Arabidopsis thaliana: one gene and its partner. The protein of the gene in region 1 interacts with the protein of each later gene in a pairwise test. Each region holds a gene or a part of one and is shown in the gene's direction. Other genes may lie near its edges.

Evidence for each region.
Region 2: the proteins of FIS1B (region 1) and PRA1.B5 interact in a two-hybrid assay, tested with the Arabidopsis thaliana proteins (one large-scale study listed by BioGRID).

What each region holds. Positions count from the first base shown.
Region 1 is NC_003076.8:4,003,484-4,019,274, reverse strand, and holds FIS1B (Tetratricopeptide repeat (TPR)-like superfamily protein), read left to right. Parts: upstream 1-7,140; 5' UTR 7,141-7,324; coding exon 7,325-7,432; intron 7,433-7,433; exon of another isoform or gene 7,434-7,637; coding exon 7,638-7,767; intron 7,768-7,890; coding exon 7,891-8,012; intron 8,013-8,099; coding exon 8,100-8,163; intron 8,164-8,247; coding exon 8,248-8,327; 3' UTR 8,328-8,587; coding exon of another isoform or gene 8,588-8,797; 3' UTR 8,798-8,832; downstream 8,833-15,791. Other genes in the region: AT5G12400 (PHD-finger and DNA binding domain-containing protein), read right to left, coding at 1-423, 741-865, 992-1,280, 1,708-2,761, 3,280-3,894, 4,006-5,462; ANNAT8 (annexin 8), read right to left, coding at 8,588-8,797, 8,889-8,978, 9,135-9,347, 9,428-9,646, 9,733-9,878, 9,980-10,052; exocyst complex component sec10, read left to right, coding at 10,830-10,913, 10,992-11,234, 11,325-11,399, 11,515-11,616, 11,688-11,738, 11,821-11,926, 12,118-12,231, 12,331-12,422 and 13 more. UniProt on the Arabidopsis thaliana protein: Component of the peroxisomal and mitochondrial division machineries. Plays a role in promoting the fission of mitochondria and peroxisomes.
Region 2 is NC_003076.8:235,310-250,630, reverse strand, and holds PRA1.B5 (prenylated RAB acceptor 1.B5), read left to right. Parts: upstream 1-8,308; 5' UTR 8,309-8,517; coding exon 8,518-9,189; 3' UTR 9,190-9,419; downstream 9,420-15,321. Other genes in the region: AT5G01660 (influenza virus NS1A-binding protein), read left to right, coding at 2,189-2,306, 2,499-2,680, 2,835-3,428, 3,867-3,944, 4,181-4,520, 4,884-5,083, 5,389-5,465, 5,561-5,662 and 2 more; AT5G01650 (Tautomerase/MIF superfamily protein), read left to right, coding at 6,598-6,708, 7,183-7,383, 7,508-7,564; BRCA2B (BRCA2-like B), read left to right, coding at 9,720-9,873, 9,960-10,103, 10,239-10,400, 10,645-11,631, 11,724-11,848, 11,936-12,090, 12,252-12,374, 12,447-12,632 and 11 more. UniProt on the Arabidopsis thaliana protein: May be involved in both secretory and endocytic intracellular trafficking in the endosomal/prevacuolar compartments.

The sequences.
Region 1 (15,791 bases):
TTCAGATCTTTCTGCCCTTTCAAATAGGTATGAGAATCCTTTTCCCTCTGAGGACCTTTTCCGTAATTTTCCTATCTCAGAGTGTCTGAAAGAGCCTCCTGGCTTGCTAGTTTTCCGTACAGCTTTTTTCTCTTCAAATCCTTTCACAAGATGTAAAGGCACATGTGATTCATTCAGCCAGAACCTTTTTCTTCCACTCGAGGATTCTTCAACCATGCAACCATTCTTCGACACAACATCCGGAATATTTCTCCTCTTACCAAAGTCAAGGAGATATTTCACAGTCTCTTCCTCCGTGCACTTCCTACGGACAATTGCTTTTTTGAATAGCCTGGCAGATTTTCTGGATTCTTTGTCTAATGTAGGAAGAAGATGACTGTTTTCAATATCATCCCACTTTATGTAAGATTGGAGTGTCCTAATCTGTGATCACAGAATTGTTAGCTGATAATCATCCAACACTGAGAAGACTATAGAAGACAGTGTTACAAGACAACATATTCAGTGTACAAAAACTGCAAAAGTCAGTAAAAATCCAAGTAACAGTATATGAAATGGATGGCACACTAAAAAATTTAACGAAACTGACACCATCAATATTCATGCGTAGACGAAATGAAAACAAAAATTCGTGTCACGACCTGTATTACCCATATACCCTTCGAAACTTCAACATTGATACTTTCTCACTCATACCAACGAGACGAGAATTACATTCAGTTTGACAAAGTTTATATTACCTGCAAACCGAGCTGCTCTGAAGTCGTAGATGACTCCACCGCTGCTTCCCAGGCAACACGTCGGCTTCTCTTAGCAGACTCTGAATTCTCCGGATAAAATATTCCTGGAATATTCATACTTCCACCTGCATAGTGTAGAGTGCATCGAGAATGAAACAACTAAATGGAACTATGGAAGTGATGGGAACGATAATTATTAAAGACGGTAGAAGAACAAACGCGAAAGCAAGAACAAAAGAGAAAATGTAAACCTTGTCTAGCAGCCTTCGAGATTAAAGCGCGAGGTAAAACCTTCCAATTGAATAACCGTCGTGAAAGTTGCCCGCCTCTCCACCAGCACATGGTCAATCCACCATTTTTCTTTGCAGTAGGGTTAACCCCAGAATCCAACAATGTCCCCCTTCTTTTACCAATAGCAGTCTTTGACCATGATCGTGTCGAAGCAATTAGAATATGTATAGCTGAGCCCATCACTACGGCAGCATCGACATGGCTTAGCCACTCAAGTGAAAGTACACGATGATGCAAATTTGCCTCTAGCTGCCCAAAGGTAATTAACAAAATCTTTCATTAGGAAAAGAAAATTGATGCACCCCTAGGTTAGTCACTAATGCATTACACACAGAAAAGTGCTCAAGAGTTGATATTGAAAGACTTTCGAAGATAGTTAACTCGTAAGCAATTGGAGAACCAACAAAACATTCAACATTCCTGGCCACACTAAAAGGTGAACAGAAATTGATTAATGCAAGCTTTTCAAGTAGGAAGAAAACGAACCAAAGCTAAAGTTCTACACAGCAGAGGATCATAACGAAAAAATTTGAATATGACATTTTCGACATGGGCAAGTTAGTGTGGTTGTTCAGAGATTGAGCTTTTGCCAATACAATGATTCAACTCACAAAACAATTCCACATGCCATTGCAAAATGAATGTTTTAGGAGGAAGAAACTTGTGAAAAACTTACATCAACCAATAAATGTTTCAAGCTTGAGATATTTGATGCCTTCAGAATGTGTTCACGCCAAAAGCTGGAGTGCTGTGGATTCAACCATGGACCAACCAAAAGTCCTTGTAGTCGACTTTCCAAGGAAAGAATCTGGCATATGATGGCCAGAAGATGACTGTTCTTCTCAAAGGATTGAATGTTAGCTACTTCACTTTCCGAAAGACCTCGTAAAGCCCCGAGACTCATATTAAACAAACAATTTATCTCAGTACCGGCATCCTCAGAAGAATTTTTGCAGGAATGACACCATCCACAATTTTCTTTCCATGCATCTAGGTAGAGACTTTGGATGTTTCGCCATTGAAATTTGGTGGTTTTCATCAATATAGTCCTCACCTGGGTAGAAGCTATTTCTTCATCAGATCTCATATCATTGGTACGGATTGGTGACTTACGTATCATCTCTTCATAAACTGATCTAGTCATCTGAGCAAATATGTATTGGTTTCTGTAGCCTGTTTCAGTCTGCACATTTGGTTTAGTTCCTTTCCGTGTGTTTATTTTAGCCAAATTTTGGGAATTCATATTTGGCTCTTTCATGATATCCAACATGCTTGATGATGCTGGCTCATGAAGTCTCTGGACATCTGAACCATTTTGTACAGTTTCAGCAGATCCTTCAGAACTCATATTAAGGATATCTAGCGCAGTAGCTGAATCTGATATCTTCCGGCGAGTCCTAGGACCATGATTATGTGACCATCCATTGCTGGTTGCTTTGTTCAGCTTTTTTTTAGCACCAGATGTTGACTGTTTCTCTGAAGCTGGTAGAGGAGCCCCAAACCCATCAATCGAAGGAATCATTCCTTTGACTGACTTATCCATGCATACAGACATTTGGGAATTCAGACCGCTGATTGTCCTTACTGGCCTAACAGGGATATCCAAGTGTTTTCTAATTGCACTTACTACGCCAGCATAGAAACTACTGCATGACTTTAGCTGCTCCAGCACAAGGTTCACATCAGTCACATGATAGTAGTTCAATGAGCCTGTGCCATCTGTATCTATCCTGCAAATTCATAGTGGACGACATCAACCAACCTACTAAAATGTATAACAGTTCCTACAATCAACATATGAAAGAAGTTCGTAGAAATAAATGATAAGAATATTCCACATCTGTATACATGGAGGGATAGTAAGGGTTACCATGTGCATCTAAATAACGAGCAAAAAAGGCTTTTCACAGATTTAAACATGCAATTCAACTTATTGGAAAATTTGACGGGAAGGACGCATAGTTTCACAGTTTTATCATGTTATCTGTACATTTTAGTTAATTCTGTGTAATTTAGTTAATCCTCAGCTAGCTAAAATTAGGGGGTAATGTTTTTAAACCTAAAACCAACATGTATATCCAATGCTCGTCAGACTACTGATTTAGACAAATTTTTTGCTAATATTCATATAAACATTTGTTTGTTTACTATGAAAAAACAATTATAGTGATCCATATCCACAATTTTGATTCCATTGAGATCATGCATTAACCATTCTTAGCTATGAGAATCGAAGAAAGAAACTTACACCAATAAGTAGCCACAACTGCTGTAGTATTTTCGACCATGCGGATCAATCTCTATAAACTCTGCGCCTCGAATTTGCTTATCAGGCTTCAATCCTGGTGCACGCCGATCAAATGCACATTCAGGACAGTACCAGTCCCCCTCAGGCAAAAGGTGACTGGCAAGACCGACACACTTAGAATGATATGCAGCCGGACAACCATCACAGCACAGTAAGCTCCCATCCATTTTACAGAAACAGCAGTCGTCACTGTTCCGGTCAAATGAAGTATCAATGACCTCGTTATTTAAAGAAAAATCATCAGCCAGCTCCATCATAGTTCGCTTTCTACGTCGCACTTCTGTGTTCGTCTTCCTATCAAGTTCCATTTCAAACTCAGCTGCAAAAGATCTTTTATTAAGCTCTGCCCTCACGACTTCAGCATCTGTCATATCATCGCACAAACGACTAAGTATCTCAATTTTCAGATTCACGGGTTGTCTGAAATAATCGTTTCTGAAAAAGTTCAGCCGAGTAAGATCCAATCCAGGGTTGTCTTTGGACCCAGAACATAGTAGGTATTCAACCACAAAAAGGGGATATGTAACCACATCCAACGTATCCCAATCAAGACTCCTGCATTCAAGATACCACCAGCAAAGCATCAGAACCAAAACAGGAGAAGCTTTATATCCATAAAACAGCAGTAAAACTAAAGTACTAAAGAAAGAAAAATAAAAAGTATACCTCAGACAAGCAGACGCAGATAGGTCACCTTCAGCAGCGAGTTGTTTCAAATGTTTTCTTAATATTTGCAAGACAGAAACATGGATGCTATCAAATAATAGACTAGGAGACATGCACCTCAATGCTTCCACAAAATCCTTCAGCTCAAAAGGACTCAAAAACAGCAAAGTACTGAAGGACCTCAGACAAGAGTAAGCAGTAAAGACATCAAGTACAGGAAGACCGTCTAAATCCAAAATAGGGGAGGATGGAGGTAATTGTGGCTTTGGCGGGAGTGCAGAAATATTATCAGCTTTTCCATCAACAATCCAAGTTTTCTCCTCTGTCAGACTACTAATTGAAGGAGAAGGGGATACTTCCTCAACAAAGCAAGCTGTTACAGTACTACTGACAGGCGATCGAGCTAACCTTCTACGAGCGCTTCTTCTCAACTGAGGTTCACTCATGAATTTTGGATTGTCAGAAGCTTTTCTTCTTTTCCTCCTACCACTTGTATATTCACCTGAATTTCCCCTATCAGAGAGAGTCTCATCAACAGTCTTAGCATCATGATGAGGTAGATCAGGATCCTTCTCAACCCCATTAGAATTAAGATTCTTGAGATCTTGCGGTGAAACAATGTTCTGCTTCTGTATCTCCTCCAAAAGCTCAGCGCTGGACACTTCAGCAACATGAACTTCTTTATATTCCCCAGTCTCAATATTATCCTGGGCACCATTTCCGTCCTGCATGTTGATTTCTTGAACAATGTCATTTCCATTCATTTGACTGTACTCCTCATCCTTGCTGTTCTCTACATCAACCTCCACGTTCAAATCAAATCCTACCTCCCTCTTCTGCCCACTGAAATCACAGATAGCAGCATTGTCCAAATCACAGCTCGCATCCATGTTCAGATCAATATCCCACTTCCGTTTGTCACTACAATTTTCTTCATAATCGATATTTACATTAACCAAACCTAGATTTTCATTCGAATTCCAATCCAACCCAGTAGTCAAATCAAATCCAGTTTCCGATTCCGACACCGTCCTATTCAAATCCGTGACAGAGGAGTCCCATGTCCTACCTAGGGTTTCCACAGGACCACAATTCAAATCAACATTCCCTCTCAAATTCTCCTCACTAACTCCCGAATTCTCCGCAACTCCATCATTTAAATCGACATTTACCTCATTCAACCCAGAGCTCTCTCGCTTGATCTCAACCACCCTCGCAACACGAGACCGTTTCTTCGGCTTCCTACCAACTCTCTTCTTCTTCACTGGAACCGAATTCTCCTGAGATTTACCATCTCCCATCACGAGAGCAACAACCTCATCCAATTCCGAAATCTCCGTAACACCGTTCTCATAAACGATCTCGAAAAATCCAGACGAATCGCGAGATCGAACCGTCCCGGAGCAAAACCCAATCCCTTGGATCTCCTTCCTAACGACTTTACCAACCAGCTCCATTGCTACAAAAGCTTGCTCTCGCTTCACGATACAAGCGAATCAAAGAAAACCCATAGCCAAAGTCTCTCTGGATTGCAAAAAAAAAAGGAGAAGCGCTGGGTTTTCACTTTATTCTAGAAACGCTTGCAACGTGCAAGGAGAGAGAGACAAGGACAGAGATTCTCTCTCTTCTTAATTCTCGGAAGCAAAGAAAAAAAAGTAGAAAGAGAATTCTTCTTCTACAGAGAAACGAAACGTCTTAACGAATTCTCTCAGTGATGATGAGAAGAAACAAAGACGGGTTGGTCAATGTTAGGAAGAGAAGGCCATCTCTCTCTCTCTCTCTCCCCCCTCCCACACTACTCTTTTTTTTTCACCTTTTTTTCTTATTTATGGTCAAAGGATGTGTGATATGTATATTGTGATATGTTTGCCTGTTTTTTTACCTTATTTATATGAATTGGTACTCTAACTAACAAGTTACAACTATGTCATTACATGTGTGATTGATTTCTTGATGTACAGTTTATTATTTTCCAAGTATTCAAATAATTTAATTTATATAAATATATAAGTAAAATAAATAAAAATTGGTAAATATTATTAACTAAAATGTTAAATTTGTTGATATAATTTATGTTATAATTAATGGATATTTTATGTTAATATATGTGTTGTATAATTTCAAAATATTATTCTAAGAAACACATTTGTATACAACTACAATAAAGATTTGACACATGGAAATGTTGTCCTAATTTTGTTTTTTCATCTTATTCTCTTTTTAGAGGTACATTTGTGCTAGTTTGTTCATGTTTGTCAATATTCGATAAATACTCTCTTTGTTAGTTTCGAAAGTATATATATCCACCAATCTTACTCTCGAATGTCATTCTCTAACCAATCTGCAATTTCTCCTAACTAAAAATTCCTAGTGGAGATAAAGCATGACGGAATGAATGCATGATGGACAAATTAGTATAAAAACTCATGAAGATTTGATGTTTTTGTTTTTGCTAAAAGGTAAATATCATTAATATGAAATAGAGTTTGGATTTATATTTTGATTATCAATACAATTCCTAGTAAAAAAAAGGTTTGAGAAAGAGAAATTAATATAACATACAAAAATTTATAAATTAGATAACTAACCAAAAAAAAAAATTATATGATATTGTGAGTATAATATATATCAATACATTTTTATCCTTTTAAAAACCATCACTATTACCACTTTTGGCCACCACCACCTCCGGCCACCACCTTCGTCCACGACAACGTCCAGTCACCACCACCGTTCACCACCACGTCCGGCCACCATCACCTCCGGCCACTATTTCCGACCACCACAACCTTCGGCTACCACCACTTCCAGCCATAACCACCTCCGGCCACCACAAATTCCGGCCACTACCCTCGGCCACCATCATTCTCAATCACAACCACTTCCGGCCACCACCATCTCTGACCACCACCACCTCCGGCCACCACCGCGTCCAGTCACTATCACCTCCACCAAAACCAATTTGGTCAATAATTACCCTTTATAGTTAGTTACTACATTTTTAAAATTATAGTGTTAGTTTGTTAATTATTTTATCAAATGTTTGTTTTGCAATTCACTCTGTCAATTTTTTTTTTTTTTTTGTTAAACCAATATTATCTTTATAAAGAAAACATTAATATGATAATAAATTAATAACAATATCCACCTAAAATTCTAAATTAATTTAAAAAATCTCTAAATTTACGCAAAAATTTTATTGCCGTCAAATTTCTGGACTGGTCTTCGTCAAAGAAAAATAGCTGAGCACAAGGGGAGGATCATCGTCAAAGCCAACGAGAAGAATACTCTGAAATATCTTGAAGCTGCGACAGGAAAAATGGACGCGGCGATAGGGAAGGTTTTCGATTCCGTCTCAGACTTCTTCTCCGGCGCTGCTTCTGCTTCCGCCGATGAGTTTCCCTTGTGCGATTCCGACATCATCTCCGTAAGTTTTATGATTCACCACCTTTTATGTTCCTCAACTTGACACGCACAGGAACCTCGAATCACAAATTTCCAATTGTTTTAATATCTCCTTCATCGGATTTTGGATTCTCTTGCGTTGCTTGTCCTTGTAAAGAATTTTTTTGTGTTTGGCCTGAATTTTGGCATGCATACATAATTTTGTAAGGAATTGACATCGTTCTCAGGGATGTGAGAAAGAACTTGCAGAGGCTCAAGACGAAGGACGTAAGAAGGAATGCATTATGCGTCTTTCATGGGCTCTTGTTCATTCAAAGATGCCTTCGGATATTCAGCGTGGGATTGCAATGCTTGAAGGTAATAGCTTATGTTCACACTTTCTATGGAATCTTCAGCTGCCTATTGTTCTTCCAAAAGGTGGATGCTTTGATCCATATGACTGGTTTGATCTTAGCAAAGTGTTTTGCTTTGTTTTCGCAGCTTTGGTGGTTAATGATACAAGTGCAATGAAACTTAGGGAGAAGCTATATCTCCTTGCTCTTGGTTACTATCGAAGCGGTGACTTTTCAAGAAGCCGGGATTGTATAGAACGGTGTTTGGAGGTTTGATCATCTGTTCCATGGATAACTCCTGAATATCTTATTGTTGATGTATTCTACAATGCCTTCTTTTTCTTTCTGTGGTTTTAGGTTGAACCGGAGTCCGGACAGGCTCAGGCACTCAAAAAGGCTATAGAGGACCGTATTGTGAAAGGTACTATTGTGTCAACTGTCCACACATCGTCCATTAGAATCTTCAGCTGCTTTTTCTTAACTCTCTTTTGATTTTTGAAATCAGATGGTGTGATTGGCGTTGGAATTGCTGTTACTGCTGTAGGGGTTGTTGCTGGTATTGCTGCAGCCATATTACGCAGCTAAGGAGGAAAGAACCCATACATGTACATGTTTCCCTTATTTTCAGTGAGTCTGTTTAGTTTCTTTGTGTCCTTCAAAGAATGTCTTTATTAAGGAAAATTATGTAATTCCTGTTTTACTATGAAAAGCTAAACAACAGAACTGATTGAGGAAGCATCAAACAGAAAACTTTATTATTACTTCAGCGTTAAATATAGTTTTATTCCATACTAGAAAATTAGAAGAGATGCAACTGTTTTAAGGTGTTAAGTTGAGGATGAACTCTAAAGTTGTTTTCCATGTCCTAGCAAAGCTAGAAGAAAGGCCTTGTAGTCCCCTGATGTCTCTTTTGCTATAGCTTGATCGAGACTCACATTGTTCCTCTTAAAGTACAGCCCAGTTATATTCGTCAGGTCCTTTTCTGCTCGTGTGACAATCACACGGTTCAGAGCATCTTCATCAGTCCCCACCGTGTTGATTGAATTGCGCAAAACCTACGTGCATTAGGGATTAACCATATGAATACCAGTTAGTTTTATTGGGATAATTTAGAGAACACATCTAAACAATATTGTTGCATCCTACCTTTGCATAATACCGGGTAGGGTTTTTGATGCACCTGATGGCTGCACGTAGTGCACTCAGGTACTCATTTGTAGGGTGATTGAGGAGATCCTGGTCATCAAATGTTTCATTAAGGACAGCAAAAAGAACATTGTCATGAAGAAAAACTGGTATGACTGCTGTATTGTTGTCTAGAAATTTCCAATTGATTGCTTTGTCACAGATCAGTTATAACATAACTTGATGTTCATTTTTTTGTTTGTATACCTTAGTGATCGATGTGCCATATATATCCTTGTAGCGGTTGAAGATTGCGCTAAGCTGCATGCTGCTCCTTGTACTTAACACCCTGATCGTTTCTTCGTGATCAACAGCCTTACCAAGGATTTCATCATGAAGAATCGCAGCCTCTGATTGCGCCAGCATCTCATCAATTTCTTCTCCATCATATTTATAAGCAGACACCATTGCAACCAAGAGCTGTATATATCAAGAAACGCCCAAGCGTTGAAGATCAGTCAAAACTAGAAGAAACTATCTGGAAATTTAAAATTACTTACTCTCCTGATGTCGCCAATAGTACGGGAGGCCAAGTCTTCCTCAAGAGAATGCTTGTAGAGGCAACGGTAAGCACGTCTAGCAGCTAACATATCTTCAGGGGATCTCATGCAGGCAATTTCGACAAGAACCTTGTAGTCAGGAATAGGCTTTTGAAGAGCCAAGTTAGCCAAGAGAGCATCTCTCTCTGGAGGATCCAAGACCCACAAGCAAATAGCTCTCTGCAGGTAACAAATATATTTATCTTTTGTGGATTATTGAAATAGAGTAGAGTAGAGCACATGGAGGAGATATATAAAATCTAAACCTCAAAATTGCCAGAGAGCTCAGATTTGAGCTGGTGAATGAGATCCTCATGGTAAATCTCCTGGTAAGCTTGTCTTATGAGCTTCCTCTGGAACAAATTCCGGTGTCCTAAGATCGAGATGATGGCATTTTCATTGGTTCCCCATCCTAAAACGCCAAATAGAAATAAAGAAGAGGAGTAAAGGAGATAGCAAGAAACTTGATGAACCACATAAGTTTTGAAACACTAATCCAAAGAAAAGTAGAACCTTGACAAGCCGCCTTGATGTTTTCAGCGTCTTCGACAGGGGAGAAATGTGGAGGAGAAACAATGGTGGCCATTTTGTTTTTTCTGTTTCTGCGTAAGATATCTTTGACTCAGATTAATCACTTGTTGGATATTGCTTCCATTGCTTTGAGCACTCTTAATTTATAAGAGTTGGTAATGATGTTACAATGCTTTGAAGAGACCAGAAAATGTTTCAAACGGCTCATTGATTGTTTTTGCTCTATGTTAATCTGAAACTCTCTCTGTTAACGCCACCCCTTTATGTATATGACTTTGCCGTTATTTTTTCAGGAATTAAGTTTTCATAAGGAATATTATTGCATCCCATAACACAAAAGCTAACTGTAAACACGAACACAAATATTTTTGCCTTAGAAAAAAATTAACAAATTAACAGTTGATCAAATTCGTTAACCGGCCGGTTTAGGAAAAAAAAACTCGTATAAAATAAAATTAACAGCTCATCAGGAGGGAGCTCATAGTTGTGAAAAGTCCGCCATTGAAGACCGTCTCTCTTTTCTCCGTCTTTTTCTCCCTGCAGTTACCGGATTCCTCCGGCTAGATCTCTCCGTTCATCGCCGGTAAGTTGCTCCATATTACATTTTTCCTTTCCCGTGTGCGCGATTGGTCATCTATAGGTTCTAAATTTTGTTGCATTCGGCGGAGTAAACAGCGATTACCGGTGATGACTTAACTTAGAAGATTTACGCTAGTGTAGTATCATTGAAGAATCCAGAATCATACGCATCTCTTTCTGCTATTTATTGAATGTTTCATATATGATCTGTCAGACTTGATTCTTCAATTCTTTGAATTTTCCATTTTATCAGATGACAGAAGGAATCAGAGCAAGAGGACCCAGATCATCCTCTGTTAACTCTGTTCCTCTGATTCTTGACATTGAAGACTTTAAGGTGAGGTTTTCAGTTGCTTATGTTTTTTCACTTTTGAATCATAAGGGATATTGATTTTTTTTTTTTTGTCACTGACAGGGTGATTTTTCATTTGATGCATTATTTGGGAACCTGGTAAACGACCTCTTGCCGTCTTTCCTAGACGAAGAAGCAGATTCTGGGGATGGCCATGGCAACATTGCTGGAGTTGATGGTTTGACAAATGGGCATTTACGTGGACAGTCTGCTCCTTTGTCCTCTGCTCCTTTTTTTCCTGAAGTAGATGGTCTTTTGTCTCTGTTCAAAGATGCTTGCAAGGAGTTAGTTGATCTTCGGAAGCAGGTGAGTGTCTTGCGTCTACATCGATGACTAGCCCTTGTTTTATCTTTTCATCGTTCCGATATCTGAGGTTTTTGTTAATTATTTTGGAAGGTTGATGGAAGGCTCAATACACTAAAGAAGGAAGTTTCAACCCAAGATTCTAAACACCGGAAGACACTGACTGAGGTTGGCAGACTAATACTATTAGTTTGATTAAATTCCTTGGGTACATGGATCACTACCTGATGAATAACTGACACCCCGATCATTTCTTCAAATGGTAATTGAATTCTCTTTCTAGATAGAGAAGGGTGTGGACGGTCTGTTTGAGAGCTTTGCAAGGTTGGACGGTCGTATTTCAAGTGTTGGACAGACCGCTGCAAAAATAGGAGATCATTTGCAGGTAAAATTTACCTTGCTTATAACCAACTATCTGGTGGTCTATCCAATATTAACCCATGCTTCCTTTGTCAGAGTGCAGATGCTCAGCGGGAAACTGCTAGCCAGACGATAGATCTTATAAAGGTAAGTGTGCATCTATGTTGCAAGGTTGGTCACATATTTAGTTAGATGAATGCTTAAAGTAATCCTTGTTCAACAAATGCAGTACCTAATGGAGTTCAACGGCAGCCCAGGGGATCTTATGGAGCTTTCCGCTTTGTTTTCTGATGATAGCCGCGTAGCTGAGGCTGCTTCTATCGCTCAGAAATTACGTATGATGTGATAGCTTTATGTTACTTGAAATTTGTCTGGAGTGTTAGAACAACTTTTTATCTATCATTTGTTAACAACTAAGAATTTAACTCTCCAACAACGAAACTTTACTAAAACCAAAAAGAAACAATGAAAATTTACAGTTAAATTAGGCTGCAATTGATTTCCATGCTCTCCTTGTCGATATCAGGATCCTTTGCTGAGGAAGACATTGGAAGGCAAGGTGCGAGTGCAGCTGCAGGAAATGCTACCCCTGGCCGAGGACTGGAAGTTGCAGTTGCTAATCTTCAGGATTACTGTAATGGTAAACTAATTCGTTTATACTGTGTTTTCTGTATATTTACTGAAGAGGATTATTGTATGTTCAACTTTTTCTTTGTGACATTTGAGTATGATGCTGTAGAATTGGAGAACAGGCTTTTATCTCGTTTTGATGCTGCATCACAGCGGAGAGATTTATCAACCATGTCAGAATGCGCTAAGATTTTGTCACAGGTGAATGCTTTATTCTGCAGCATGCCCCTTTACAATTCAGTAGGAAAACCTGTTCTTTTATCTAAGATCCGAGCGAAGGCCTTCCTTACGTATCGAGTGATTACATCCTGGTTAATTCTACATAAAGCTGTCACAGAAGGAATGGATGTCTAGTTCTCCTCTTGTACATATGGTTCTTGATACTTAGTATTTTTTCTTCTTGATTTTCAGTTTAACAGGGGTACAAGTGCTATGCAACATTATGTGGCTACACGTCCAATGTTTATTGATGTGGAAGTCATGAATTCAGACATTAGGTTGGTTCTTGGTGACCATGGTTCTCAGCCTAGTCCTAGCAATGTTGCCCGTGGACTTTCTGCTTTATTCAAGGAAATTACAGGTTTGAAGGTCATTGATCTGGATGCAATACTTGAAACATGCTTCTATGCTGATTCATATATTTTGTTACTTCTTATGTGTAGACACCGTACGCAAAGAAGCAGCGACCATTACAGCTGTTTTCCCGACTCCAAATGAAGTTATGGCGATCTTAGTTCAGGTAACTGGCACCGATAATTTGGACACTGTAGTGTTAACCCGGCATATGGATAAGCTATACCAACTCTTCGTGTATTTTACGCAGAGAGTTCTGGAGCAGCGTGTCACAGGTATTCTAGACAAAATTTTGGCGAAGCCCTCTCTTATGAGTCCACCACCTGTGCAAGAAGGCGGACTGTTACTAGTGTGTAGATACCTCTTTATCTCTTTCTTTTGCTATCTTCGTAGTAGGATTGGTATAAGAAAGTTAACTCTTAATTTTTGTCTTTAGTACCTTAGAATGTTAGCAGTTGCATATGAGAGAACACAAGAACTTGCTAAAGACCTCCGAGCTGTTGGATGTGGTGACCTGGATGTTGAAGGTCGTTTTTTTTAATGATAGAAGTTTTGTTTTGTCATGCAAACTTTCGTTGGTGCTGACAACTCTATATTTTGACTGTGCAGATTTGACAGAGTCCTTGTTTTCCTCGCACAAGGATGAATACCCTGAGCATGAGCGGGCCTCCTTAAAACAACTATATCAAGCAAAGGTTTGATATGGTTATTTCAATTTTCTGATTGAAATTAGTTGTTATGTTGTTCATTAATGTGAAGTGCTTAGATTTGAGGTTTTCTCTACAGATGGAAGAATTGCGTGCTGAGAGTCAGCAAGTCTCAGAGTCATCTGGGACAATAGGACGCTCTAAGGGTGCTTCAATATCATCATCTCTGCAGCAGATATCAGTCACCGTTGTCACAGATTTTGTTCGATGGAATGAAGAAGCAATAACCAGATGCACATTGTTTTCATCTCAGGTTACTGAACTTAGCAATTTATGAGAAACTTTTCCAAAATAAGTTAGTTGCTGTGAATTTTGAGAAAAGATGTCGGAATAGGATATTGACAAAGAAATAATCTAAAATATTGATTTTGGCTGAATTATCTAACAGTAAGTAAACTTTAATATCTGGGATTGCATATCTGATATTTATAATTATTTTTTTGTGCAGCCAGCCACACTTGCAGCCAATGTTAAAGCTATATTTACTTGCCTGCTAGACCAGGTATGCTGTTCATGAGATTCTAGAGTCATTCATATTAATAGAGCTGATGCAATGATGAGTTCTTGCAGGTGAGCGTATACATAACTGAGGGACTTGAACGGGCAAGGGATAGCCTGTCTGAAGCTGCAGCATTGAGGGAGAGATTTGTTTTGGGCAGAAGAGTAGCTGCTGCAGCTGCTTCTGCTGTAATTCCTTCTCTTTTCTATTTCTCACTATTTGAAATGCTATTGTTATGTGGAGTTAATTATAGTTTCTTTGATTGTTTCTCAGGCAGAAGCTGCTGCTGCTGCTGGTGAAAGTAGCTTTAAATCCTTCATGGTTGCTGTGCAACGTTGCGGTAGCAGTGTTGCTATAGTTCAGCAGGCATGTTGGATTACTTTTATGGTTATCAGTTCGTTTCAATTATTTCATCTGAGAAGGCTTCTCCTACTCAACTATTAAAGTATTCAAATAGTTTGACCCAATCTTCTACAATGAAAATTCTATAATCATCTAATTTTCTTTTCCAGTATTTTGCAAATTCTATATCTCGGCTTCTCCTACCAGTGGATGGTGCACATGCTGCTTCATGTGAAGAAATGTCAACTGCTCTGTCCAAAGCAGAGGCAGCTGCTTATAAAGGACTTCAGCAGTGCATTGAAACTGTGATGGCTGAGGTTAGTTCTTTTTTGTGTACATTACAAACAGAGCCATGAGGTTCAACCCTGAACAGGTTTAGGAGTCATGCTTAATATTTTCTTTCCCCTCATTTTAAGGACTCTAATATGGTCTTTTTCAGGTTGATAGGCTACTTTCATCTGAGCAGAAGTCTACTGATTATAGATCAACTGATGATGGAATTGCTTCTGACCACCGTCCAACAAATGCCTGCATAAGGTTAAAGGCTTCACCTTTTTTTTTTTTTAGTTTGATAAGCCAGAAGTGCTTATCTGTAGTTATACTTAGTAGATTTCTGAACCATTTTACAAAATATCTATTGATCACGTCTCAACACTGTGCTATTCTTTTATCTGATTTTTTCTCTTGTTTAGGGTCGTGGCTTATCTTTCCCGGGTACTTGAGTCTGCTTTCACTGCCTTGGAAGGTCTTAATAAGCAAGCCTTCCTGACTGAACTGGTATGATTTCTTTCTCACCACAGATTTCGTTAAGCCTTTTGGTTACTATTTGATCTGTTCGAAGTATTTATTCGCCCTGGCCTTTGCTTTTTATTGCTTTGTCCAACGACGGATTAGAGAAGAAAAAGAAACATTCTAAGCTTAAGTTCCTGTGTGATAACTTCGACTTTTCCATATACTGCCATCTTTTTGCCTATGAAATGGCAGTCTTTAACAAATGAATGATCCAATTAAAAAGCAACTCAATCTTGTTTTCCACTACTGTGGTGACTTCAAAATAAATAGTTAAAAAAAATAATTTATAATTTATGCATCATATAGAGAAGGATGAGGATTTGAATTAAGTTTTCTTTATCATTTTCAGGGAAATAGGTTAGAAAAACTGCTACTAACACACTGGCAGAAGTTCACTTTCAATCCCAGGTATGATTTCAGCTCTTTGTATGTTTTCTCTTTTCCTTACTAAAATCGCATCTGCAGAATAACCGAAAATGAGATTCAGGGCCCTAATAAATCAAACATAGATAACCATTCCAAATTTGCTATCTCTGAGTTTTCACTCTGATCTGACATGAATGCAATGTTTGATTCGCACCTCTTGGTATAAATGTTTTGTCGGATCAAATCAAAGTCTTGACCACATTAAATAAAAGATCCATTGCAAAATTAGGT
Region 2 (15,321 bases), 3.8 Mb from region 1:
AAAATGAATTATTTGTTTTGATTAAGGATGTTAAGTGATTTAATTATTGGTTTAGATTTAAACCCTTGGGTTCCCTATATATTATCCCTTAGGGTTTAATATCTTTCCATAAAAAAATATTGTGTATCTATACAGAACGTTATGTTATTCATTGACAACACTATTCACATCTAAATTATTTTGTGTCTGTTTTAAAAAATTTAAGTCATGATATATGTAGAAAACTATACAACTTTTTAATTGATATATCATGAACTTGAATTAATTTTTTAAAGATTAGATAATATGAATTACAATTGGGAAGGGGTAAAGAAAAAAGAAAGAGAAAAAGGAACTTCTCTCATACCACCTGATTTCTTTTCTCACCTCAACACTAATAATAAAGCCACGTCACCACATTTTCCTTCCTCGCTGACAAACGTAACACCAGGACAGTGATGTCTTTTCACACCCCTTGAAGGTTATTTATTACATTTACAAATTTATGGTGTTAGTTAGTTAATTATTTAGTGAAAAAATGTTATATCTGCAAATCACCCAAATCAAAATACTGTCATAAGAAAATGGGATCAAGAACATTCATTCTCTCAACCCATTTACGATCCTACGTACTTAGGTAATACGTACCATGGCTATAAAACAAATATTTCTATCACGCAACCACACTTAAGTACAAAACTAGCGATTATTATAATGTCTGTTTCTCTTTGTTTAGTTGAGCATTTATATAATGTTTAGTACAACTTTTACTGTTTGGCTTATGCAACATTGCATGTCCACATCTAATAAAATCTAAAAAGGGTAAAAGTATAAAAGAGGAAGATGTGTCTCCTTTTTCATTTGTTTGATAGAAGTATTATAGTTTTCACGGTTTACATTTTTCCATTTAAGTTAGCTACTATTAGTAATAAGTCTTAATGTCTCACTTCATTAGAAACAATCATAATAACTTAATATCTCCCTACATATATTTCTTCGGAGACAAACAATATTTTATCAACAAAAGAAACAATATTCTTATTAATTAGTTTATGACCATGCCTATATGCTAAAAGGTATATTGAATTGTGTTATTGTATTCATGTTTTCATTGCATGATTTGACAACACATGATTTTTTATAGATAATATTATATTTACTTCTTCTTTTTCTTTTAATATGACCAATTATTGTTTTTCTTCAAATTCATCGAGGAAATTCATTGTTACGCGCATTTTATATGCAAAGGATAATTTTTTCTTAAAAATGATAAATTAATAGATATATATTTTTTAAAAATATTTTGCATCGATGTCTATTTTTCCGCAGAAGGAAATACTTGTAAACAGTTTGACTAATGTCTAATTTCTTTCAAAATTTACCGTAGAAAAAGTAAAAAGGAGAAAGTTGTATATTAGAAAGCAGAAGAAATTGAAAAAAAAGAAGAAGAAGAAGGTATATTTAAAATTTGCAGCTTAAAAGGCTCTAAAAATTCCGTCGCTCAGTTTCCGTCGCTCCTCCGGCTTTGTCATCGTCTTTTGCATTGCCATCAGTCATGATGGCCTAAGCTTCTTCTCCCTCTCTCTCTCTTTCTCTCTGAGACCTCGTCTTCTTCGATTTTTCACCGCTCTCACTCAACTTCTCTGTTGATCAAGCTCCGATTCCAGTTTAAGTGAGCATTTAGGTTTCAGTCGTTGCCTTTTGCTTATTTTCCTAGGGTTTTGTCATCGCATGGTTCTTATCGTGTTTCGATTTCACGAGGAGTTGAGATGTAAGGTTGGAATTTCGTTGTTTACTGATTTGGAAACTCTGCTCTGCGCTTTTGTTTCAGAATTATCTGTTTGTTGATTTCGCTCCTGGTTGGGTTTTTGTGTGTTAAGTTATATGGCCTTGTTCGTTAGCTGACTGAAAATTGTATACATTTGTGTTTCGTATTTCATCATGTGAATTTCTTCGTGATTTTGTAATTTCACATCAATGGCTGCCTCATAAGCTACCTCTTGAGTGTCTTAATAATGCACACCATGTGTTTGAAGGTTTTCATCCTTCTGTTGTCTAGTTAGTAAAACCGTACGAAAAATCTGGAGACTGTGTCTGTCTTGATTACATGCTTGAGCAATAAGACCCGTTTCAATCATTGGAAGGACTGGATTTGTTGTTACACTGTAAATCCTTTGATATTCTTTCCTTTTACCCAATCAATGTCAGGATGGCTCAAAGGAGGGGAAAGTTTTCCTTCAGAAACCTGACGAAAAGTCAACTAGGTGGTGTTGTCTTTGGCTGCACTAAGAATACCATCAAAGAATGTATGTCGAAACAGTTGTTTGGTGAGTCTTCTTGAATAGCTTATTCTTTTCCCATGCTTGTTTTTGCTTCTGCTGAATGTAGCTGTTTGTTTGCTGTCTACTTTGATTCTTTGCTTGCTCATTGTCGTATGCTGTTGCATTTTTTTGTTTCTAAACTCTATTTCGCAATGTTTGTATGTATATGCTTCTTGAATCCGCTGATGGTTTTGACAGGTTTACCCTCTAACCACTATCCATACGTGCAGAAGATTGATATTGGTTTGCCATTGTTTCTTTTCAACTATTCTGATCGTACACTTCATGGCATTTTTGAGGCTGCTGGTTGTGGTCAGCTCAATTTTGACCCTTATGGCTGGACCTCTGATGGTTCTGAGAGAACCTCATATCCTGCACAGGTACCAGAGTGACATTTGATCACTTTCATGAATATGTGTTTCTATGAGTTCATTGGATTACATATGGTTTTCAGGAGGCATTATCCCTTGCCAACCTTTTCCATAAGCAGTATAAATTTCATGAAATAAGCAGTGGTCTTTTACGGTTTCGCAGGTTCCAATCAGTGTTAGGTTACAGTGTGAACCACTTTCCGAGGAAAAATTCAAACCTGCAATTGCAGATAATTACTACAGTTCTCACCATTTTTGGTTTGAGCTTGATCATTTCCAAACAAGGAAGTTGACATGTCTGCTAACATCTTTTGCTGTGAAACCTAAACCACCCATGAATACACCAAACACAAGACAGATCTTTCGCTTGATTTCATCAAGTGAAAAGAAAGAGAACAGTGATGAGGTTAAGCCTTCTGAGAATGAACCAGTGGGTAGCTTGGAAGTGTCACTCAGTTCTGGCGGAGAATCTGACTCCTCTGCTGCTGCTTCTCATCCTGGTTTCTCTGAGAACCATCCAGACGTACAGAACCCCAAACAAATAGATAAGGATCATGTTCTTGAGAAACTGAAGGATCTCGTCTTTAGTCATGATGAGCATGGAGACAACAGTCTAACTGAAACTGTTGAACAAGCCAACATTCCCACCTGCAAGAACTTGGAAGACAGAGATACACTTGAAGAGGAAACATGTTCAGAGGGGAAAATAGATGGCAGTTGTCTTGTATCCTCTCCTCTTCCACATACAATAAGCCAGGTACGTTGGTATCTACACATGGTTGGTATTTATTCAAACTAGGTCTCCATTTCTAATACTTTAACTGTTACTTCCTATACAAGTCTATGTGTAAATCTGTTAGAGTCAACACTTTCCCCTTTATTTCTTCTCAGAACGAACGACAAACAGAACCCCCAATTTTCTCAGCCAAAATATCGAAGTTTTAGGCAACCTCACGTCTGTTCCCCCCTTCTACTTATACCCATCTGAGCTGTCAATTATTAACTGTGTAGAACTCTGTGTATTAGCTATAATATTGCAGGAATAGTTAAGAAGAAACTGTTCCATGTCAGCTTGCTTCTCTTCCAAAGACTATGATCTATAGTTAATTGAGACTTGTAATTCCTTCTCGGAAGATTATCATGTCTCTTGGGTGTATCAAAATCAATGGGATCATATTGGCTAAATATTTTGCAGTTGATGCATGAGGTGAAGGAACTCAGGGCATGCGGGCTGGAAAATTCAACCAAGATATGTTACTTGGAAGAGAAGCTGGTAAGATTTTGTTTATTGCTATTTTGATTTTCATTCTTCCTGCTGGAATTCTGTTTGCATGTGTAATATGACCACACCCACACAGATATTCATTATATCAGTGATAATGATCCTCTATCATTTTCAGCTAGGGGTTCATCTCGGTATCATTTTCCCTTGTTTTTGGAACCAATAAGCTCAAAATATAGTGGTGGAGAAACCATAACACTTTTACTTTTCGATATTTGGTATTTCAGGACAAAGCACACAAGGAAATTTATCAATTGACAGAGCGTTGCAACATGCTGGAGTCCATATCAGGTCCTTTAATCACCAAAGCTGGTGGCAGTGATTTGGAGATCCATTCACCAGATGATACCAGCTTAGATCCAACTGAGGCAATTCTTCTTTTAGGGGGATTTGATAAAGACTCTGAAACATGGTTGTCATCAGTGCAGTCATATTTTCCATCCAGGAATGTTGTAAAGGCTCATAGTTCAATGAGCTGTATCCGTTCAAATGCATCAGTGGCAAAGTTGGATGGTAAAATTTACGTCTTTGGAGGTGATGACGGTGGCCGTGGCTGGACCAACTCAGGTACGGCCTCTCTTTTTCTCTTGTTCTTAAAATGAGTTAACTATTTAGTGCATTAGAGCCTGTATACAATACATATATAAACCTATAAACCTTCCAGATATTCTTAACAGACAACTAAAAGAACTAGAAAACGGAATATGGGTGGCAAAAGCATACTACTGTGACTTTCATTATATTACTAAACCAAATGGCTCTAGTATTTTTAGCAAATTGTGAAGTGAGGTGTATTAATTTAGTGCACTTCACTTCGGCTGTGCATATTTTAAGTTAATGTCTACCACTTCACACTTCTTTTTCTCTCTAACCATAATTATTTAAGCCTGATCTTTGATTTCTGTTTTGCCTCTTCTTTTTTCTGTGAAGCTGAATCCTTTAACCAGACTGATGGCCAGTGGAGCTTGTGCCCCCCCTTAAACGAGCGAAAAGGAAGTTTAGGTGGAGCCACTTTGGATGGAAAAATATTTGCAATCGGAGGTGGGAATGGGATGGTATCTTTTTCAGATGTTGAGATGCTTGATCCAGATATAGGGAGATGGATCAGAACAAGGTCAATGGGGCAGGAGGTAAACGTTCTTCTCTATTCGCATGACATATGGTGAAAGCCAAAAATCTGAAAAGTTGTCAATTAGATCCCCACTGGGAAATTTTTGACAGAAGCTCACAGCTAAAAACATAAATTCCCAAAGAGAATCCATTGTTAAAACTACTCTATTTCGCTAAGTTATAATTTCAAGTAAGGAGTGTCAGGTTAACAATAGAAATGTAGTTTATGCTTCCACTCACCTACTGGTTATAAGCCTTAGCAAGATGATACCATGACCTTCTCCTCGGCTTTATTCTCTGAGTTGTCACTGCTCTTTGATCTCAGAGATTTGCAGTTGCGTCCGTGGAGCATAAAAGTTCAATTTATGCTGTCGGTGGTTATGATGGTAAAGAGTACCTGAAGTAAGAACATTTAAGCCTTGTGTTCTATTTTTTCCCCTAATCTTGACACATGTGAAGCTAACAAGAACAATTTATTGGAAACTTACTTTTAACAGCACAGCTGAAAGGTTTGATCCTAGAGAGCACTCCTGGATGAATATTGCATCGATGAAGTCGAGAAGAGGCTGCCATTCTCTTGTTGTTCTGAATGAAAAACTGTAAGTTTCTTCTCCCCATTTTTCTTCTTCTTTGAGAGTAACTAACAGACAAATTTTGGGTAAGAGTTTTAAGGTTGTATTCATATGCACTATTGCAGATATGCGATTGGTGGGTTTGATGGTGAGACAATGGTATCGAGTGTTGAGATATATGAGCCAAGGACAGGGACATGGATGACGGGAGAACCAATGAAGGATTTAAGAGGATATTCAGCAGTGGCAGTGGTTAAAGACTCAATATATGTGATCGGAGGATACAAAGGGGAAGAGGATGACATATTAGACACTGTAGGATCAGTTCTGAACTTGAAATGAAATTAAAACAATTTACATAAGCAGACACGGTTTAATCTTTGATCATGTGTGTGTTTGCAGGTTGAGTGTTTTAAGGAAGGTGAAGGGTGGAAAAACGTGCCTTCTTCCTCGATCGGTAGGCGTTGCTTTCTATCTGCGGTGGCTTTGTAAATGGGGAAACTTTGAAGCTGTTGTTTTTTTGGTGGCCAAGTCATGAGAGACAGAGATAAGCCTTTAGGAGTTTTGATTTTGGGGAAAGAGTTTCCCTCTATGAAGTAGAAGCAAAATGGAAATATCGATTTGCTATAAAAAAGTACAAAAAAACATCTAACCAATTAGGTGCGTTCGGGTCTAGGTCGAGAGATCTATTTTATAAACGTTCCTGGGCACTCAAATTTGAGCGGGCTTTTATAACTAGATTAAGGCCCATTTCTAAACAAAATAATCCAAAATCACTTCATCAGAGCGTTTGAAAGAATCTTCGAAACGAGAATGCAAACGTAAAAACGATGGGCTTGGGCCTAAGCGAATAAAAAAGGTTTAAGGATAAAAGGGGAAAATTCCTGGGTGGTCTTACTCTCTTTATCCGCTTGACTAAAAAAAATTGGCGTCGAGTGATAGAGACGAAGAAGAAGAAGAAAATGCCGTGCCTCAACCTCTCCACCAACGTTAACCTTGACGGCGTCGATACATCTTCCATTCTCTCGGAAGCTTCCTCCACCGTCGCGAAAATCATCGGCAAGCCTGAGAACGTAATCCCTTTTTCTCTCTCGATTTAACCTCTAGTTCGTTTCGTTCTGTTCGAATTTTGTTTCGATTCTTCGTTTTCTCCTGAGATTTGCCTTGTGTGCGTCTTTATCTCTTAATCATTTTCTTCTCCTTATTGAATAACAGCGATTCGAGTGTTGTTTTCTTCACATGCATGATATAGAAACCCTAAGCAATTTTATCTCGTTGCTCCGTTCTATTCTAGTGGTTCACATTTCCGGAGTCTTCTCTTGACTTATTTGTACAATCTTCGTTGGGGTTCTTCTTTTTTATTTTACCACGATTTCTAGGCCATTCCTGGCCCTTGAATTTCTCATTGCTGAAGTTTGTTTTCAAAAACAATATTGGTCTGCTTTGACGATTGCTTGTTTATGTTAGTGATGTTTAAATATTTTTGTCCTGTAATGTTGTTTCTTAGATCATTATCTGATTGCATTGTTCATTGTGGTAATTTGCAGTATGTGATGATTGTCTTGAAAGGCTCAGTGCCTATGTCATTTGGCGGGACCGAGGATCCTGCAGCTTATGGTGAATTAGTTTCTATCGGTGGCCTTAATGCGGATGTGAACAAGAAGCTAAGCGCTGCTGTTTCCGCCATTCTTGAGACTAAGCTATCGGTGCCCAAGTCTCGATTCTTCCTCAAGTTTTATGACACCAAGGCAAGCAATTCCCTCTCTCTGATAACTTTTTTGATGTAGTGACATAACATATGCAAATGTGTTAATGATTTCATATGCCCGATATGCGTCCATGTCTCATTTTCATTGTTCGTTGTCTCTCTAGGACCATCAAAGTCAAGAATATGCACAATGTTTACACGCTTTACACCAGCACTACTAGGTCATGAATAGGGAACAAATACATCTTATGTGTGTAAGTTCATCATCATAAGACGGACCTATAACTTTTACTCATAAACTAGGCATTATAAACAATTAAATCAAATGCATAAACCGTTCCACTACTCGAATTCAATCTTTACACCCACACTGTTGAGTTATTTAGGAGATTCGTTCAACTTCTCTAAATCCGTTGTCTAACTGGCTTAGAGGGTCATCCATCATCTGGAGTGTTTATGCCTATAACCACCTGATATATCAATTATACATTTCTTTTCTCGTGTGGTTCTTCTTGCAGGGATCCTTCTTTGGTTGGAACGGGGCGACTCTTTAATTCCGTGGTAGGTGATTAGTGTGATTGTCTTGAAATGTATGATCTACTCTCATCGATCAAGTAACTTTGAACTACTTCGTATTGTAAACATATCTAAGGTTTGATGGAGTTGCATTAAGAAATAACATTTATGCTATATATGATGCTACAACTTACTATCAGGGTAAACAATGGTTATTTAGTCTTTGTCTACTCGTTAGATATAATTATGTTTAGAATTCGAAGATGAATGTTATCAAAGAAAAAAGGATTTGACATTGTCAAGTCTACTACTCCATATGACAGATCAACATTGTGTTAAAAATATTTTCTATTAGGGAAACTTCCTGTGACTGGAACATTAATGGTCAAATGCACTTTGCCTAAGTAATCAAGAATTATTGTATAAACTACGTTAAGCAAAAAAATAACCTGAGTTATAATATCAGGAGGTTATTTTTATTTTTATTTTAGCAAATGAATATAGATTAGCTATCAGATGAAGCAAGGTGTATAATCAAAGTTGAAAGACGCGTAATTGTGATCCTATATATACATAACACTACCGCAACTTCAGCAACCTCTAAATCATTCGTCTCCTAAAATTTTCCAATCTCAAAATCCCAAAAGAACAAAATCGAATGGTGTCAACAAATCCCCCTGTTCTTCCAATTTCCACCACCGCAACAGACACCACCAATCAGCCTCCGATTGTAACCGCTGTGGTGGAATCGCAACCTCCAGTCGTCCGTGCATTTGTCAACGGTGTGACCGAGACGGTCTGTGGTGGTCTATCTCGTAGCCGTCCGTGGTCAGAGCTCCTCGATCGATCCGCTTTCACAAAGCCTGACTCTCTCTCCGAGGCCGGGACGCGATTCCGGAAAAATTCCTCTTATTTCAGGGTGAATTACGTTTGCATTGTCGCTCTGATCCTTGGTTTCTCTCTTCTCGCCCACCCATTCTCTCTCATCCTCCTCCTATGTCTCGCCGCTTCCTGGCTCTTCCTCTACCTCTTCCGTCCATCAGATCGTCCTCTTATCCTCTTCGGCCGATCTTTCTCCGAATACGAAACTCTCGGTGGCCTAATCCTCTCCACGATCGCAGTGATCTTCTTCACAAGCGTCGGATCTGTATTGATATCCGCTCTCATGATCGGAATAGCAACAATCTGTGTCCATGGCGCCTTTAGAGCTCCCGATGATCTCTTCCTCGACGAACAAGATCATGCCGCCTCCGGATTCCTCTCATTCATCGGTGTTCCCGCGATCCCCTCTGTAGCACCCTCTGCCTCCTCAGCGGCTTCCCCCGTGTAAATTATAGTTCTCAGAATCTGGCGTGTTTAGAGATTTGAAGGTGGAGATTGTTGCAATGTAATTTTCTGTGATACTTGACCATTGTTGCAATGTAATTTTCATTGAAGTCAGTCACCAATCACATTGAACAGATGTTTTAAAATGTCCACGTAAGCAATTATTGTTTGGAACGATTTCGGGTTAGCATTCGTGCCGTTAGTTACCGCAATAAAAGGCCGTGGCAATATCACACTTGTCTTGGAACGCTATGTCCGTAAAAACCAAGCCCAAAGTTAAAATAAAACCACGCGTCTCATAATTTCGGCCCAAATCTTTTTCAACTTTCCCGCCTTTGTCAGAACTTTTAACTTTTTGGATTTTTGGTGATGATTTTGGTTTGGGGAAAGAAAATAAAACAATAAAAATAAAAATTCCGCACTCCCGACTCCTCCCTCTTGGCGTGGTAGGCAATTCTGAATCGCGAGGTTTAGTTCTCCGGCTGAATCATATAACGACGAATCGGAAAACTTGGAAACCCTAGAACTGAATAAATGTCGACGTGGCATTTATTTTCCGATTCCAGCGGCGATGGTTTCCGGTGGGAAGTCGCTGGCCGGATTCTTCAGTCCGTCTCGGATTCTACGCCAACCAAGGCGCTCGAATCGACAGCTCCTCTACCTTCCATGGCCGATCTCTTGCTCCAAGGTGATTCTTCGTATCTTCCTTTTCTTTGTCGAATCGTGTTTGTCATGTGACTCAAAGGAGATTGAATTATTATTTGATGCTTCAAGGATGCTCGAAGCTTATAGAACGGGAAGAATCGATGCCTGGGGAAATCCCAATGTTCAGGACTGGGCTGGGGAAGTCTGTAGTTCTTAAAGAGTCTTCGATTGCTAAAGCCAAATCCATTTTAGCAGAGAATGTTGCTTATTCAGGTATTTTATGTGACAGTATTGAATTCCCTTGACTAGTCATTTGTTTCTGAATTCGCTTGAATTGTTACTTAATGTTGGTGAATATGTGTTCCTGAAAATCTTTTGAATGTTCCATGTTCTTGGCTACACTTTTAGATTTGCAGAACACAAATTGCTCAATTCCCCAAACGAGACAAGTGGATACAGCTGAAACTATGCCAATGTTCAGGACGGCCTTGGGGAAAACTGTCCCTTTGAAAGAGTCTTCAATTGCCAAACCTTTGTCTATTCTAGGAAGTGATATGATAATTGACTCAGGTGTGTTCTTATCTCCTCTTTTTTTAAGTCTTATATCCAGCTGTGTGCGCATTTACATATGAACTTGTTGTTTGTGCTGCTACTCCGTTCAACTTCCAGGTTTCTTGAGTTTGGTTGTTATCAGATAAAACGATGAATAGTGAAGAACTAATCAACACACATCTTACTTCGTTTAGAGAATAAATATTAGAAGTGACATTTTTTCATAGTTTATTTGTTAATAAGATTCTTTTTGATTGTGTAGACAACGTTCTTCCCAGGGAGAGTGGGTTTGGTGTTCCCAACAGTCTTTTTCAGACAGCTTCCAACAAAAAGGTTAATGTATCTTCTGCCGGTTTAGCAAGAGCCAAGGCATTGTTAGGACTAGAAGAAGATGATTTGAATGGATTTAACCATGTGAACCAGTCGTCTTCTTCCCTCCAGCAACATGGGTGGTCCGGTTTAAAAACTCATGAGGAGTTTGATGCTACAGTGGTTAAGCATCATTCAGGAACTCCAGGACAATATGAGAATTATGTATCTGGGAAGAGATCTGAAATCTTAAATCCATCGTTAAAGGTGCCTCCAACAAAGTTTCAGACTGCTGGTGGAAAATCATTGTCAGTGTCAGCTGAGGCGTTGAAACGTGCCAGAAACCTTCTTGGTGACCCTGAGTTAGGGTCTTTCTTTGATGATGTAGCTGGAGGTGATCAATTTTTTACACCACAGAAAGATGAAAGGCTAAGTGATATTGCTATAAACAATGGAAGTGTCAACACAGGTTATATTGCTCATGAAGAAAAGACAAGCAACAAACATACGTCAAATAGTTTTGTATCTCCTCTTCATTCATCTTCAAAGCAATTTAGATCAGTTAACTTGGAGAACCTAGCTTCAGGGGGTAATTTGATCAAGAAATTTGATACGGCTGTTGATGAGACCAATTGTGCTCTGAATATCAGTAAACCTGCTACACATGGACTATCAAATAACAGGCCTTTAGCATCAGATATGGCAGTGAATAATTCCAAGGGAAACGGTTTCATTCCAAGAGCTAGGCAACTTGGAAGGCCTGCTGATCAGCCACTTGTTGATATAACAAATCGCAGAGATACAGCTTATGCAAACAATAAACAAGACAGTACCCAAAAGAAAAGGCTGGGAAAGACAGTCTCCGTTTCTCCTTTCAAAAGGCCAAGGATTTCATCCTTTAAAACTCCTTTAAAGAAAAATGCTCAGCAAGCTTCAAGTGGTAATATATACGATTAATTTTAATTTTAATTTTTTGTTAATCTAATTGGTTGGTTCTCAGATTTATAATTTTGGTGTCCTGTCTATTATCAGGTTTGTCTGTTGTATCGTGTGATACACTTACTTCCAAAAAGGTACTTTCTACAAGATATCCAGAAAAGTCTCCAAGAGTATATATCAAGGAGTTTTTTGGAATGCATCCGACAGCTACGACCAGGGTAAAATCTTTTTGTCCCTTTCACCTGTTCCTGCGTTACATAAATTTTTTCTTCATTCACTCAAACACATTTACGAGGTGGTTTTAGATGGATTATGTGCCAGACCATGTCAGAAGAATCAAATCAAGTAATGCAGATAAATATGTATTCTGTGATGAGTCTTCTTCAAACAAGGTTGGAGCTGAAACTTTTCTTCAAATGTTGGCTGAGTCGGGTGCTTCCTTACAACATGCATCCAGAAAGTACTTTCTCTGTCCCTTGAAATGTTAACCGTGTTATATGTTTATTATATCAGAAAAAGTGTGTGACTGTTCGTTTGAAGCTTGCATGTGATTGTCACTCTATTAGATAGACAGTTTGATGTCTATATCTATTAACTTATCTATCACTACATATGCACTAGGTGGGTTACTAATCACTACAGGTGGATAGTCTGGAAACTTGCATGCTACGACATATACTACCCAGCCAAATGCAGAGGAAACTTTCTAACAATCACCAATGTTCTTGAGGAACTAAAATACAGGTTTCCCAGTCTCACAACACAACTCGTTACTTAAACTCATGCAAAGTCTAACATGGTTAATCTTCTTAATAGATATGAGAGAGAGGTCAATCATGGTCATTGCTCTGCAATCAAGAGGATTCTGAGTGGTGATGCTCCAGCTTCTTCAATGATGGTCCTCTGCATATCAGCTATTAATCCAAGGACCGATAATGGTTCTCAGGAAGCACATTGTTCTGATAATTGCAGCAATGTGAAAGTCGAACTCACTGATGGGTGGTATGAAATTGCTACTGCTGTTCTGTTACCTGTTTTCTTGTCTCATTTCCATAGGATTTTTTTTTAAATCACAGGTACTCGATGAATGCTGCTCTGGATGTCGTGCTAACCAAGCAGCTGAATGCTGGCAAATTGTTTGTGGGGCAGAAGCTTCGAGTAAGTTATATTCATGCAAGATATACTTTGTTTTGCAACACAGATTTTGGTTAGATCACTGACTTGCAGCATGCTTACGTTCTTATCTCTTATCTGAAGATCCTCGGGGCAGGACTTTCTGGCTGGGCTACCCCAACATCACCACTTGAGGTTTCCTAGACTTTGCATTTTATAAGATTTTCTGATATCTTCTCAGGTTGGTTTGTTCTTAGAGTTTCGTTCAACCAAACTTTCAGGCAGTGATTTCAAGTACAATCTGTTTGTTGTTGAATATTAATGGGACATACAGAGCTCACTGGGCGGACCGACTAGGCTTCTGTAAGTAGCTTTATGCTGTGGACCTCACTACATCATCTGAGTTCTTATTGCTTTCATATTATTATCTTTCTATTGATCGTTCTTAATCTCTTCCTCAAGGTAAAGAAATTGGTGTCCCTCTGGCTTTCAACTGTATCAAGTGCAATGGGGGTCCAGTGCCTAAAACGCTAGCTGGCATCACACGAATATACCCCATCCTATACAAGGAAAGGTCAATATAAATGTGTGCCTGTTAATGCACTTTGGTCTTCCTTATACTTCTCGCAAAGCATTATATTTTCTTGATGTATACAGGTTAGGTGAAAAGAAGTCAATAGTTCGATCAGAGAGAATAGAAAGTAGAATTATACAGCTGCATAATCAGAGGCAAGTTTCCTTATAACTGTAGAGTAGCAATTTTTAGTAACATTTATGTGATCAATTTAGCACATCACTTTCTAAGAAGTGTCAGATTAACTCATCAAAGCTAGAGACATTTGTTACATACACCAATATTAGGGTTCTAAGTAGTTTTTGGGACAGACAAAGAATCTTTGTATTTATTAGAAAAGCTTCTGGCCTTCTGAATATGGATGGTTTTGCCAACAGAAGAGCCAAAGATTGCAGTTCCTCATGGTTTATTCTCATTCGTACTTTTCTTTCTTTCTTTTTCTATTTTCCGTAGGCGCTCAGCTCTTGTTGAGGGTATTATGTGTGAGTACCAGAGAGGAATTAATGGTGTTCACAGCCAAAACGATACTGACAGCGAAGAAGGAGCCAAGGTCTTTAAGCTGTTAGAGACGGCTGCTGAACCTGAACTTCTTATGGCTGAAATGAGCCTAGAGCAGTTGACATCTTTCACTACATATAAAGCAAAATTTGAGGTAGAATAGTAATTCCCTTTTCTTGATATATTGATTACAGTAATTAACTGCTTCAATCTGAACCTCAGGCAGCCAAGCAAATGCAGATGGAAAAATCAGTGGCAAAAGCTCTGGAAGACGCTGGTTTAGGTGAAAGGAACGTCACCCCATTCATGAGGATTAGGCTTGTTGGCCTGACGAGCTTAAGTAATGAAGGAGAGCACAATCCAAAAGAAGGCATTGTAACAATCTGGGATCCCACGGAGAGACAGGTACATTCAAATGCCTAAATCTGAATGTTTCATGCACAATTTAAAAGAAGGCATTTTTCTAATGGCTTATAAGTTTACACGAACCTTATCCATATGAGCTTATATGGAACGGGGAGTTCCAAATATAAGCTCGTCAGAGTTGCTGTGGACCTCGAATGGACTGAAATGCATATCAAAAAATCGTTACCATCACTGTACTGTTGCATTAAGAGCATCATCGATTAGCTTGTTCAACTTTTTTCTTGTAGATTCTTAAAACAGTTATCATTGTCTACTACTGTGACAGAGAACCGAGCTGACGGAGGGGAAAATATACATAATGAAAGGGCTAGTACCAATGAACTCAGATTCAGAAACACTTTACTTACATGCCAGAGGGTCAAGCTCAAGATGGCAGCCTTTGTCTCCAAAAGATTCTGAAAATTTTCAGTAAGTGGTTTTCTTTAGTAGACACTGGAATCTATCTCATTAATTTGTTCAATTTCCCTGATGATGTTTTCAGGCCTTTTTTCAACCCTCGTAAACCAATCTCTTTGTCAAATCTTGGTGAAATTCCTCTGTCAAGGTTAATCTCAGTAGTCCAAGCTTTTTATAAAACACTATTTACCGCACTTTGCTAATCTATACTCTATCATCTCTAATTATGTCCTTCAGTGAATTTGATATCGCTGCGTACGTTGTATATGTTGGAGATGCATACACAGATGTTCTACAAAAGAAGCAGTGGGTGTTTGTGACAGATGGATCCACACAACATTCAGGGGAAATCTCAAACAGTCTTCTTGCTATAAGCTTCAGCACCCCATTCATGGATGATAGCTCTGTTTCCCACATCAGCCATAATTTGGTTGGATCCGTGGTATGTACAAATTCTAATATTTGTCTAGTTTTACACTGAGAGAATATGCACCGAGAAATTATTGTTTGAAAAATATATGCTTTGTGGGCTTAATTTTTGGCAGGTCGGATTTTGCAATCTAATTAAAAGAGCAAAGGATGCGACAAACGAAATGTGGGTTGCTGAGACAACAGAGAACTCAGTCTACTTCATAAACGCAGAAGCTGCCTACTCTTCTCACCTTAAAACCCGCAGTGCCCATA